4 linked regions of the Xenopus tropicalis genome follow. The protein of the gene in region 4 purifies or fractionates together with the protein of the main gene of each other region. This does not show direct contact. Links are inferred from orthologs where the notes say so. Each region holds a gene or a part of one and is shown on either strand. Other genes may lie near its edges.

Region 1 (3,520 bases), on a different chromosome or scaffold from region 4:
ACTGGGGACAGCACTACTCATTAATTTGCTTAAGCAATTAAAGCTGTTTTTCATAATTCACCAGTCATACCAAGTAAGAAATTGATTAAGGGCTACACAGATCTTACAAGCCCCAGGATGAAAAAGCGGACTCGCTCTCCCAAATTTTTGCTGTATTTTAATGCTAGTCAAATAGTGTGTGCCTGATAGTGGTTAAACCTAGACCCAAACAACAGTCTACAGTTCTGGAGGCCTTGGCCAACCAATTGCAGCAATTGGCCAACCAATTGCAGCAACACTGTCTCATTTTTTAGGTTCCTTACGGATGCTGGGTCATAAACAAAACCAGTGATGTGGAGAACTAAAACAATTTGCAATCTGATCAATGACAAGGTTGCCCAACTATGTCTGGGTCACATTGGGAGAGTTTGCTGGCTGACACACAAGCTGGAGACCCATACTTCTAAAATTTAAGAAAGGACTGCTGATATTATAATGATTTTTAAACTGTAGGAACCTAAAGAGATTGCCAATCTCACTTCTCTACTTTTCTCACTCCTACCTCTATAATTTCCTTTGTCTCTTTTTTTTTTCTTTTTTTCCCAACTAGTCCAAAAATCCAAATGTGTTCTTGTCAGAATTGCCTCTTATCCTTTTTCTTTTTCATCCATGCATTCTTGTTTTTCTTTAGATGCTGCACCTATGAGGGCCAATACAGGCTGTAACCCTCCTGCTTATGGTGGAGGTGCCCAATGGGAACGTGGAGCTAATCTGAAAGATTATTATGCTAAGAGGGATGAACAGGAGGCTCAGGCTGTAAGATTTTATTATACTATATAAGAAGTTTAGAAATTTCAGGTCTTGTTTATGAAATGCATTTTTGCAATTAAGCATCTATCTTAGTAATTCAGGCCCATTGTGTCCAAATATGTCACATTTACTGTAGATTTAATAGAACTGGATTTTCAGCTAAACGCAGCCTGCTCTTGAGGATGGCTTCTACAATGTTTTGTGTAACTGTGTGGGGCATGCCATGTAGGCTGTATGGCTTTTAATTTTTTGAAAGGCTGCAATACAATACATACCAAACTCCTTCAGCAGACCTGCTGTGAATTTCTATTTCTATTACAGCAGTGGTTTTTAGAACTTAAATTGGTCCAAGATCAACCTGAGGTCCTATATTTCAGAAGGGGCCCCCGTAAATCACAAAAGGGTTACATATATATGGACACATTGTGGTAATAGCCGTTTTAGCAGTAGCTCCAAAGATAATTAGAACTTAATAGAATAAATATTGTTTTCTAAGGACCCTCAAGTTAAGCTTTCAGAAATATTTAGAAGAGCCAAAATAAATATAAAAAAGGTAATATAAATAGCCATCCCCTCCATATCTCAACATAAATGGCATGCCCAATGCTCATTCCTAAAAATTTGAGGTTTCTTTCCATTAACCTGTCTTGAAGTTATTTAGAAAATAAGCCGTAATAAAATCTCCCACACCTTTTTTGTGTAGACTCTAGAATCTGAAGAAGTTGATTTGAATGCTGGCTTGCATGGAAACTGGACCCTTGAAAATGCAAAGGCACGTCTCAATCAATTCTTCCAGAAAGAGAAGACACAAGGGGAATACAAGTATTCACAAGTGGGGCCTGATCACAACAGGTTGGTGTGCATGGCTTGGCTCATTTTGGTAGTTTCTTGTGTAGTTGGAAGCATAGAAGGGTAACAAGAAGAGCATTAAATATTTTTCAATGTTTCTCCTACATTCTAAAGTAGTTTTAAATTATACCATTCCTAATAGTAGGTTAGACTTTATTTATACAGTCAGAAGCAAATTACGAGTGAAAGCTGCAGATCGGGTATTATCTTTTCTTAAGCTAGCATTATTTATACAGTTACATTTTTGTGTGTGTAGAAAAGGGACTAAATGTTTTAATTCACAAATATCTAGTAAGAGATAAAGGGGAAATATATCCCTAATTTTATTCAGTTGGGCTTATGTATTTGATTGACTTCAATCGCCTACCTTTTACCCCGGGCTGGTGCCCCTGTTAGGAGAGAACCGCACCAGCCCGGGGTAGCTGCCAGCACTTCCTCGTTCCTGTCTTGCCGCGCGAGCATGCGCAGTAGAGTGAAAAGCCGAGCTTTAACAGAGAAGTCGACTTTTCACTCTACTGCGCATGCGATTGTCCGGGACATTTGGCAGCAGCGCAAGTTGGAAGGAGGAAGCGTTCTTTTCTCCTAACAGGGGCACCAGCCCGGGGTACAAGGTAGGCGATTTAAGGTACAGTGACTTTGCCTTTCCTTCTCCTTTAATACTGTTTTGCCTTTGACCTTTACCTAATCATTACATAACAAGAGGGAAAAGTAAGACCAAAGCCAATATGTGCTAAATTTTGACTGCAGTAGTCCTTACGTATTTGCTGTGTGTTTTTGAAAATTGGAAATTGACTAGCTGTTATACAGTTATTTGTGTTTCTCAGCCAGCTGTTAAAGAACAGAGCATTACAGAGAGTATTAAACTTACTCCCAGTAAAGCTCGTATATGAAAAAATTCTTGTGGAATGGGTTTATTCAAATGCTTATGTTACAGTGTGTTACTAATTTGTGTCTTTGGAAATTGTTACAATTTGCTGAAATTAGAATTAAAGAGTAGAGGCTGTGACACCAGGAATCTCTTCTTAACACATGGGGTGGAGTTTAGGCTGTACTAAGCTATCCCATGTGAAGTCTGTTACTGACTACTGAATCCTGGTGTCACTCTCTCCAGGTGACCAAAAAGGCCGGCTGAGAAACACATTCACAGGCTGCTAGGGCGTGTTCTGCAGGTCAGTGTCTTCTGAGCTTATTCTAGTTTTATAAAGTAATGCAATCTTGAATAACATGATGCTAAGATCTTATCTTTTGGAGGGCTGGAATTAAGGGAGAAGGGATTTTTGTTGTAGCGGAAATATTGTGCCTCAACTTGAGAGGAATAATTTACAGTTCCAACCTGTCACCATTTTGCTGTTTTTGAGCAAACCCCAGCACTCCTGATAATCTTTGAAAATCAATAGGATGTTTTGAAGTACTGTAACGACAGCATACTGGTTTACCCCCTTTATATACTACCAGTTTAATACACAATTTGGTCAGTGGTCTCTTCAAAAATTAGGGGTCCGGGTCCTCATTATTCTATCCTAAAACCAGCCCTTAAACTATCATAACCTGACATATTTGCCTTTACTGGGTAATATATGAATTTAATAAACCATTCCTCCAGCTTTAATATTTGGACCTTGTACTCTGGATTACAATAAGATAACTATCTAGAACAGGATTGTCACAGTTGGAAATCTTTGTTTGGACATGCTGACAAATGTAATTTACCATCTGTAAACATAATTCAGTATCATGCATGTTCACCGCCAGCAGTGGAAACACAGATAGAGGCCAGAAGCAACCAGTTCTTTTGTGTGCAGTATATGAATGGCATCAGCCTGTCATTGTGTACATGAACATTTTCTGCAAAAATCAGCTCCCATTTGCACAGTGACAGGCT
Region 2 (3,520 bases), on a different chromosome or scaffold from region 4:
AATTAAGAATACAAATACATTTATTACATTCAGAGCAAATATGTTTTTTTTTTTTTTAAAGGTTATAATGATGATTGGCTTGCCAGGTGCTGGAAAAACAACATGGGTAACTAATCATACTGAACAAAACCCTGGCAAATACAACATACTTGGAACGAACACTATTATGGAAAAGATGACGGTAAGAATCCTAATATATAATTTTGGTATGTTAACCTTTTTTTTTTTTTTTTTTTCTTGACATTTTTACTTTAAAACCCTTTTCTTTGTAGGTTGGCTGCAAAAAGCAAATGTCTGACACTGGAAAGTTAAATGCTTTGCTGCAGAGGGCCCCACAGTGCCTAAGCAAATTTATTGAGATTGCTGCTCGCAAAAAAAGGCATTTTATCTTGGATCAGGTAAGTTTTTTTTTTATATATATATATATATATATATTATTTATATTGCCATTTTTATACAGGGCCTTAGAGAGACATACCTTGACCGGCAGTGTTTTCTGCTTTCAGGCAATTGTTAAACTTTGTTTAGAAACCTGCTGTCTTCTATATTTTGTTAAATAAAAAATATAATTAATTTTAGTCATGTATGCTTTTAAATATAAATAAATTGTATATTTACCGTTGGCTAGTAAAAATTTCAGAAAACTTACCATAGTCTATAGAAGTAAAATACAAGTTAACCTTTTCTCAGAAGAACCTCAGTAATTGAGGTTGGTAATTAGAAATGTTATTAACTAATGTAGCATATTGTAACAATTTAAAAAAAATCTGAAGTTTTTGCATAAGTAAAGGAATTATTCAAAAGGTGAAAAATGAAACTTTAAATTTTAGTATTAGAATGTCAAGTTATTTCTGATCTATTAGAAAACAGTGGGAGTGAAAATATTTTAAAGGCAAACAATTCTTTAAAGTGATCCATAATTTCACATGTTAATATGATAATTATTAATACAATAACAAACCTTGCTTTCAGCATACAGGGCTTTTTTTTTTTCAATAGAAATAAGTCCATTTTACCTCACTTTGTATAAAACTTATAACTGAAATATAAGCTATAGTAATTAAGACACCTTGAGCTTTCTAACCTTTAAATGCAGTATTTTAAGTACAGGTGTGGAATATATTGTACAAAATACTTAGCACCAGGGAGTCTTTATACAAAATGGAGCACCCTGCCATAAGGCTACTAAGGTGCCTTAATAGTTTTCTAATAATAACCAGAACAGCAAAATCTATTTGTAATCATACAAGGCCCCTCTGCCTTTCATCAGGTTTAAGCTGTAGTGTGTGTGTACATACACTATCAAACTGATTTGTTTCTTGTGTTGAGTGGTGCAAAGTGTTCCAGCTTTGCCTTCCTAAAGTTAACATTTTTTTGTTTGACATTTCTTTTCTCTTTTGCAGACAAATGTGTCAGTAGCTGCACAGAGAAGGAAAATGTGCTTGTTTGCTGGCTTCCAACGCAAAGCAGTTGTTGTTTGCCCAACAGACGAGTTATATAAAGAGAGAACACAGAAAAAATCTGAGGTGGAAGGCAAAGATCTTCCAGAACATGCAGTTCTCAAAATGAAAGGTAAGTAGATTTCCATGTTCTTGATCGCCATTGAGCCTCTTCGCAAGGCAGTTTTTCAGAGCTTATGGCTTCTATGCTATGATCTGACACAAACTTGTTATTGGTCTCTAATTTCTACTTTACTTTGTAACAACCATTCTGATATGGTGCTAATATGATGGCCCCTGATAGAGCACATTTTTTTTTTTCCCTCTCAGGTAACTTTACTCTTCCAGAAGCAAGTGAGTGCTTTGATGAAATCAGTTATGTGGAGTTGCAAAAGGAAGATGCTGATAAACTTATTGAGCAGTATAAGGAGGAGAGTAAGACGTCCCTTCCACCAGAGAAAAAACAAAACATTGGAGCAAAGAAACCAAACAAGAACAAAAATACCAAAGGCAGAGGTGGTATGTCTCACGGTCATGGACACAGAGGCCGGGGAGGTGGAGGATACAATATGCGTGGAGGAAATTTCAGGGGTGGAGGTATGTTTGCACCATGTAGTTGTACAGAATATTGTATACATTTAGTAAAGAGGGCTGAGGCAAACATATCAAAGATGACTTAGTTTCAGAATTTGTTCATTGACCTTTGTCAAAACCACCTTAAATATTTAGGCAGGGGTTCAGTGAAGCTGTGACCACAACAAGAGGTCCTCTTGAGAGAGAGATGCCCTCCCCTTTAAGCAACAGGGATTGTTTGTCCATATACTGCAATATACATCCAGCTGGCCAACTATGTCGGTCATCCATGGTCTGGGCAGTCCTACACTTGCTTTTATCTGATTCATTAAAACACCCAAATGGTTGCCCTTTTATTGGCTCATTGGGATCACCTGACTGTAGCTGGAAAGGGTGGGGGTTACAACATGACGCTTACCACTGCTTCTGTGCAAACTAACAAAAAAGGGAAAAGTTGTGCTCACCGCTAAATTTTAAACCATTAGGCATAAATTTAATAACTAACTATCTTGTAGCTCCAGGAAACCGTGGAGGATACAACCGAAGAGGAAATATGCCCCAGCGTGGTGGTGGAGGCGGTGGTGCCGTTGGGTATCCATACCCCCGTGCACCAGTCTATCCTAACAGAGGTGGCTATGGTAACCGTGGAAACTTCAACCGTGGCGGGGGCGGTGGAATGCCCAGCCGTGGCAACTACAACCAGGTAAAACTTTATATTAAGTTTTAATTGTCCCCTCCCATCTTTCTTTGTGCCATGTTTTAGGAAACAAGGGGGGAATTTGGTTGCTAAATATCTTAATTGAGAAACTCTGCATTGCAGTTTATTGACCTAGAATTTTCTCTGCAGAACTTCAGAGGAAGGGGAAATAATCGTGGCTTCAAAAATCAGTCTCAGGGTTACAACCAGTGGCAGCAGCAGGGTGTAAGTATCTCTCACTGAAATTGCTTAATGACTTGCAAACTTTTTTTCCCTTTTTGCACCCTATATTTTTTTTTAATTTTTTTTTATTTCACTGAGCTACTCTAACACACAGACATTTGCCTCCAGCTTTGGCCATATTCCTATAAAATCTTTTGCCGTAAGTTACATAGGATCAATTTTATTACTACTTGAACTTCTTGGAATTAAGTCTGGATTGGGCTCCTAGGTTAAAGTAGTGGGATGAAACTTAATCAAATGTTACACATGACCTAAGCAGTTCTTGTTGGCAAATAAGCTTAAAAGCTTGTTAACATGTTAATATTTACCCCTTTTTCTAATTGCAGCAATACTGGGGTCAAAAGCCATGGAGCCAGCAGTACCACCAAGGATATTATTGAATACCCAAATAAAAATGAACTGATACATATTTCTCTTCAAAACCTTCACAAGAAGTCGACTGTTTTTCTTTAGGCTAACTTTTAAACAAAAAACAAACATTCCACAAGAGGAAGTGCCTGCGGGTTCTTTATTACTTTTGTTTGGGTTATTCCCATTTATTTTGTTTAGTTGCTTTCTGGGTTGAATT
Region 3 (3,520 bases), on a different chromosome or scaffold from region 4:
AACACATGTGCAGTATGAAGCAAGGAGGGAAAGGAAGGGAGAATACCTTTTTAGAGATGGCTGCCTGTTCTAGAAAATGTGAAGTAAGTGTGACTGAGTAAATATTTCATTAGGTGAGCCAAAAGTGTGGCGTTTTTACTAAATAGGAGGACTATTGGGCAGTATGCTTTTTAAATTTTGACTTGCATTCTCCTTTAAGAGAGGAAAAAACAACAGAAGTTAAAAAGCAGAATTCAAGCCACTTATTCCTCTAGAAAACAAAAAAATTACATACTGAGCCAATTTTGTACCTTTTCACATTTGTAGTAGAAGGCATTTTTAAAATATCTTTATAAGTCACAGGTATACTTTTATAACACCAGAGGGCTCATATACATAAAATGTTCAATACTTCAAGTATCTACTTTAAAACAAATTATTAGAAGGCTTAACAATAATAAAATTGAGATATAATAAAATACACTCTTATAGTTCTCCATCTTTTAACATTGGGGTTAACCAGATACCTGGACAATAGCAGGATCCTGAGGCAAGGAACACTGAGGTTTGGGTGGCTCACAGACTGTAAGGTCTTTAATATCACTTCCTCTGAAAATAATATATTCAAATACTTCATCCCGGGGAGGTATAGGTCGGTCAGTTGGCCGGTCCTCTGTCCCAAATGATCGAACTAGAACAAAAAATAAAAAAAAAACAGGAATCGTCTTTGAGTTGTTAAAAGTACAAGTACAATGCAGTACTACCGAAAACCATATCTTGTTTTATAAGAATTAACATTCATCTTCTACAAAACTTGCAGAAGTAGCTATGGATATGTGTTGAAGTTTTGTTGAACTTTTGTAGAAGATGAATGTGGAAGGCATTCCATATCTGTATTTATTTATGGGTCTACAGTAGCCATGGATAGTTTAATGATCTAATGAAAAATGGCTTTCCCTCTTAACTTCCACAGAGGGTAAAGTTTATGATGTGTGGCAGGTTTACAATCTATGGCACCTCCAGCCCCTAGACAACCAGCAGAGCAGAAAGAGACAAAGGCTCTTCTCCAGTGTTGTACAACTTCTGTGGTACCGAGGGCTCAGAATGGAAGCCAGTTTTGACCACCCACTTCAAACTACACCCATGTAGTCACAAGAGCTTTTAAGACCATACCCGTATTAATGGTAGTAGCGCAGCAAAAACTTGAATGGTTGGTGCTATGTGAAACAAGTTTATTATGTCTTATTAAAAGGGGACCTGTCACCCACACATAAAAAAAGCTACATAATAAAAGTCCTTTAAAAATTAAACATGCAACCAAAGTTCTTTTTTTAATTAAATCACCCATACCGGTTATAAATGTATTTAAAAGTCTGACCTGTCAATCATATATTGCCTGCCCCAGGCAATATATGATTGACAGCTCAGATTTTTAATTACTATTGCTTTAACTTTCCATTCAGCCCTTCCTCGATATCACCTAGATGGCAAATGTAGAGATTTTGGGGTGACACAAAGCTTTGCCTTAAAATGGCGCCAGCCTGCTGGCTGTGATTGTAAATTCCAGGACTGAAGGGGAAAAAAAATAATGTATAAAGTTTATTTTATTCAACTAACATGATAGAAAAGGATTTGGAACTATTTCTTAATTATAATTAATTCTTATTGGAGGCAAAACAATTGTATTGGGTTTAATTATGCTTAAATAATTTAATATACAAAGTATAGAGATCCAAATTACGTAAAGATTCCTTATCCAGAAGACCTCAGGTCCCAAGCATTCTGGAAAACAGGTCCCATACCTGTACAACTTGAGTACCGTATATACTCGAGTATAAGCCGATCCGAATATAAGCCGAGGTACCTAATTTTACCTAAGAAAACTGGAAAAACTTATCGACTCTAGTATAAGCCTAGGGGAAATGCAGCCGCTACTGCTAAGTTGTTTTTTTTTTTTTTTTTTTACTGTCAGGCAAGTTTGGGAAGGCTAAGGAAGCTGCCATACTAAGTAATGATAGTAATGATAAGATGGAAATCCAAGCAACTGGCAAGTTTTGGTAAATATCATATATACACTGAGTGGCAGCATTATGTGCTAGAAAATATTGGCCTCTGTTCTCATAACATAGCTACAACAGTTAACTTACTCCTTGTCCTTCAGGCCCCCTGGCTCATCTGTATACTGAGACACCTTCACTGCGGTTCTGACTCCTGAGACCATTACATGGCTTAGAGGGCACAGCTTGCAAAATGCTGGGAATTATAATGGTCATTGCACCAATTTTTGTATTGCTCGGGTTCCACCCGATCCTCTGTAGCCACCTATAAAGCCCACAAGCCCCCTGGTTCATCTGTATACTGAGAGGCCGTCCAGCATAGGCCGGTGGCTTTGAAGGGGAGAGGAGGAAACCATATTTAGCCCAGTTAGGATTTATATATTTCTTACCTATAGCTGCGAGGAGAAGGGGTAACCCACGCTGTGTACACTCCCATAATGTCCTTCCAGTGCATGAAGCCGGCGAGCGCGAATGTGCGTACACACGCACGCAAATAACACAATACAATGCAGGCAGTGGGACTTGTTATACGTGCGTGTGCAGGGATTGCCATCTTCAAATCTATATTACTCGAGTATAAGCCGAGGTCGACTTTTTTAGCACATTTTTGGTGCTGAAAAACTCGGCTTATACTTGAGTATATACGGTAAGAGACTTTTACACTAACTATAAAAAAAAAAAAAACAGCTTTTGCACATGTCAAGATGAAACACCCTTCTAATCTGAATAAGATAACTTTGCAGCAACTGGAAGGATCAGCGTGTTCATAGTACTGTGTGTTATTTATATAATATATATATATATATATATATCAAACCCAGGGTGGCATTCTGCTTCAGCTCTTAGCTCGGGTGCAAGGTAAATGATTTAAAATATCCAAAAAAGACCAGCAACACCGAGTTATATTCCAAAAACAGTCAATTGTGTATTAAAAACGCATGAACAGCCAATGTTACATTTCGGTCCCCATCGGGACCTTTCTCAATATATATATGTATGCTAAAAAGCATACAGACCTGTATTACCTATATTTTTCTATTTAGGTGGATGGGAGGCAATTACAGGTTGCTGAAATGCCTATAGGCTAATGCCACACGGAGCAAATTCTCAGCTTGTGGATAAACACAAGCCAAGAATTTGCCCCTTCGCTTGAAGAATTTTAAACTTTTGCCTGCTCCCAGAAGCAGTTTCAGGCCGGGTGCAGGTTGCAGGGTCATGTACCGTATATACTCGATTATATGCCGTTCCGAATATAAGCCAAGGTACCTAATTTTACCTAAGAAAACTGGAAACATTTATTGATTCGAGTACAAGCCTAGGGTGGGAAGTGCAGCGCCTTGTGCTAAGTTTCAAAAACCAAAATAAATACCAATAAAATTAGGATCTATCAATCTCACTGAACAAATAGAGCAGAAGTAACTAAAGTCTGAACCATGAGACAATCTGTAGTGACCAGATCCCCTTGTGCATGGGTTAAGCAGCAT
Region 4 (2,925 bases):
ACTGTGGAAGCAAAGTACATGACAAATTGTGTTGAGGCAGTTAAACCCCTTTTCAAAGCAGTTCTGGACTGGTTTTAAACAAGTTACAAAGTTTTGGGGGCACAGTAGAAGGCCATACATTAATGCATAGCAAGAACTAACTTTGAACTGACTAAAAAAGTCTAAATATAAAAATGGGCTTTAACCATAGAAATGAAGTGGTTAGGCAGAACTTTGACCAGTGCAGTTATATATTTAAGGAATACATAATCTAAGTCTGCCCAGCTGCATTTCCATTCATCTCCATAACAGTGCCAATACTTATTATAGCTGGGAATGATGGAAATTTGTACCATGCAACACATCGGCACTTACACCAGTCACACTGAAATCTGGTATATTAAACACACATATAGGAAGAGATGCCACTGGGCTTTCACATGCATGGATTTGCTTTAACTCAAAACTGGCACCAAAGCAGCAAATAAGACTTACAGTGAATTTTGTAGTCTTTGTATTGTCTATCCTCAATAGCAGTTACATACAGTGTAGCACGATCTGGAAATATTAACCCATCTGGAGTCTGAAAGATATGCAAGTACATAGAAGCACATGGCATTAAAAAAAAAACTTCTGGCATTTCAACTAAAGTATACATTTCCTTAGCAAGTGTATATACAAGGTTACATTACATCCAGCTATCACTGGTGTAAACCCAGTAATAGCTGATGTAATGTCATTAGCATTGTTGTATTAGGTACAACAATGCAGAGAGCCTTAGCACCATTGGCACAATCAAATCCAACAAACTGTTTACATTTTTAAATACAAGATACTCGTTCTTGACACTTCTTGCGAACTTACCAGCCATTTATCCCGTGCATAGATAACAGTGTTCAGCATTGATTCATAGAACAGACAATATCCCATCCATTCACTGATTATGATGTCCACTTTTTCTACTGGGAGCTCCACCTCTTCTACTTTGCCTTTGATGATTGTAACCACTAAAGGAGAATAATAAGTGGTTAGAATGCAGTCTAGATGGAAACAGTAATGCACTTAAGACAACCGTGTTGTTACCTACCATGATCTAGTTTATTTGCCTTCACGATTTTTATGGCATAGTCAGATATACTTGAGCACTCAATCTAAGTGAAAAAGAATGTAGTGTTAGTTGAGAAGATTTAAACAAATACAATTGTATGTATCCAACCCACTTACCCCCTCTCTGCCTCAACATTCCTCCCCCCCTAAACTTAAATGGATACAGACAAAATTACTCCTCAATTAATGTACATAAGTTACAGGCAATGCTGATCATTTTTAAGTACTTGATGTTCCTAAATGTGTTTTGCCAACCTGACTGTCCCTTCTCAACCTGTCAGTTATAGCTTCTAATGCCAACTGACTCCTACTGCTGCATAAATGGCAGCCCCCTCAATGGAAAATGGGGATTGGCTGTGTAATGTAAAAGCACTGGGCAAACACTTCTATGGCAAAATTATTAATGCATGCAAAGAATGTCCTGTTTTAAAGAAGGGTTTAAATTCTTGTGTCAGTGTCTAATATACGCTATATTAAAAATACTGCATCACAGCACCTGCAGGAAAGGGACTATGATAAGAAATATTCAGATATATGGTGCACACTACCAAGCACCAGTCAGGGGAATGTAAGAGGACAAACTTCTATACCACCTACTAGCTAGTAGAGCTGGATGCATCAGGGAACATGCCTAAAAAAAAAACTCAGCGTTTCTAAATCGCAACCCCATGGGGTAGAGGTTTTTATCTTACCCCAATAACTTTCTTGGCACCAGCCTTTGCTGCAAACATGCAGAGAATACCCGTGCCACTCCCAACATCCAAGACTACTTTATCTTTAAATAGATGTCTGTTGTGAAACATTGAGTTACGATATGTCAGCGTTCGAACTTCATCTTTTAACATCTCCTGCAGAAAGAAAATGGATCAGAAAAACTCATGGACAGTTATCTTTAAAATATTAGTCTACGCAGGGGTTAACTTACCTCATGGATGCCAAAGTGAGCATACGAGTCAAAGTAGTAATCTTTTGATGTCATGTCCTCCGCATTTGGCTTCACACTGCTCTCAGGCTGAGTACAAGAAACCTTCAAATAAGAAAATGCATGCATAAGTCTTAGACACCCATATACAGGCAAGACCTCCAAGGAACAAGACACCTAACATAAGCAATATGGGTGCCTGAAGAACCACATTACTGCCTTGTGATGTTTCAATTTCATATTGCATTCACATCACTCATGATTAGATTAATTCTACAACCTAGAGACAGAATGCAGATGGTAAAAATAACTTCTAGAATGCCATGTTTCCCAGCTGTGGGCCAAAATGCTGACAGCTACTGTCACAGTAGAAGCCATTTTATAATACTCCTTCCTTCTGTACAGTCTTAAAGAGCCAGCAAACTATAGTGAAAGTATTCCTGCAACTGTAAATTACCAACCATTACCTGAATGTCTGCATTTATCACACATATGCTTTGAATTTGCAACAGAAGAAAACTTGTGTTCTGGAATGGCAAAGAGCCCAAATCTCAATCCAATAGAGATGCCATGGCACAACCAAAGACTATATAAACAATTTATGTTTAGTTTAAGCAAGTTACGCCTCATTTTTCATAAATGGCACAACATATGTACAGGTAGAGTAACCCATAGCGGCCAGATGTTTACTTTGAAACAGTAAATACTGTAACTGGGTGCTGTAATTAGACTTATCAATAACTATATATAGCTGAAAACCAGATAATGTGAGTAATGCAGAAATCCAGGTACTGAAGTTTGCAAACTTCTTACAAAAGAAAAATTTGAGGTTATGTTTTCTCCATGCTTGCACAGGTTTCCTTTATTCCATTACCTCCCACACTCCCAAAACAGTCAGGTAAACTGGTCCCTGAGAA

The links. The genes of interacting proteins can lie anywhere in the genome.
Region 1: the proteins of prmt1 (region 4) and dhx9 purify together in Homo sapiens (affinity purification with mass spectrometry; 3 studies listed by BioGRID and IntAct, with this or other methods). This does not show direct contact. The link is inferred for Xenopus tropicalis from reciprocal best matches to the Homo sapiens genes PRMT1 and DHX9.
Region 2: the proteins of prmt1 (region 4) and hnrnpu purify together in Homo sapiens (affinity purification with mass spectrometry; 4 studies listed by BioGRID and IntAct, with this or other methods). This does not show direct contact. The link is inferred for Xenopus tropicalis from reciprocal best matches to the Homo sapiens genes PRMT1 and HNRNPU.
Region 3: the proteins of prmt1 (region 4) and lsm14a purify together in Homo sapiens (affinity purification with mass spectrometry; 3 studies listed by BioGRID and IntAct, with this or other methods). This does not show direct contact. The link is inferred for Xenopus tropicalis from reciprocal best matches to the Homo sapiens genes PRMT1 and LSM14A.

The regions. Positions count from the first base shown.
Region 1 is NC_030680.2:100,161,199-100,164,718, reverse strand, and holds part of dhx9 (ATP-dependent RNA helicase A), read left to right. Parts: intron 1-670; coding exon 671-795; intron 796-1,492; coding exon 1,493-1,641; intron 1,642-2,749; exon of another isoform or gene 2,750-2,807; intron 2,808-3,520. UniProt on the Homo sapiens protein: Multifunctional ATP-dependent nucleic acid helicase that unwinds DNA and RNA in a 3' to 5' direction and that plays important roles in many processes, such as DNA replication, transcriptional activation, post-transcriptional RNA regulation, mRNA translation and RNA-mediated gene silencing.
Region 2 is NC_030681.2:44,496,473-44,499,992, reverse strand, and holds part of hnrnpu (heterogeneous nuclear ribonucleoprotein U), read left to right. Parts: intron 1-61; coding exon 62-181; intron 182-272; coding exon 273-398; intron 399-1,403; coding exon 1,404-1,572; intron 1,573-1,769; coding exon 1,770-2,036; intron 2,037-2,527; coding exon 2,528-2,715; intron 2,716-2,859; coding exon 2,860-2,934; intron 2,935-3,278; coding exon 3,279-3,332; 3' UTR 3,333-3,520. UniProt on the Homo sapiens protein: DNA- and RNA-binding protein involved in several cellular processes such as nuclear chromatin organization, telomere-length regulation, transcription, mRNA alternative splicing and stability, Xist-mediated transcriptional silencing and mitotic cell progression.
Region 3 is NC_030680.2:67,701,844-67,705,363, forward strand, and holds part of lsm14a (protein LSM14 homolog A), read right to left. Parts: intron 671-3,520; coding exon 507-670; intron 1-506. UniProt on the Homo sapiens protein: Essential for formation of P-bodies, cytoplasmic structures that provide storage sites for translationally inactive mRNAs and protect them from degradation. Acts as a repressor of mRNA translation. May play a role in mitotic spindle assembly.
Region 4 is NC_030683.2:111,009,013-111,011,937, reverse strand, and holds part of prmt1 (protein arginine N-methyltransferase 1), read right to left. Parts: intron 2,114-2,925; coding exon 2,012-2,113; intron 1,935-2,011; coding exon 1,779-1,934; intron 1,131-1,778; coding exon 1,067-1,130; intron 987-1,066; coding exon 844-986; intron 563-843; coding exon 475-562; intron 1-474. UniProt on the Homo sapiens protein: Arginine methyltransferase that methylates (mono and asymmetric dimethylation) the guanidino nitrogens of arginyl residues present in proteins such as ESR1, histone H2, H3 and H4, FMR1, ILF3, HNRNPA1, HNRNPD, NFATC2IP, SUPT5H, TAF15, EWS, HABP4, SERBP1, RBM15, FOXO1, CHTOP, MAP3K5/ASK1, MICU1 and NPRL2.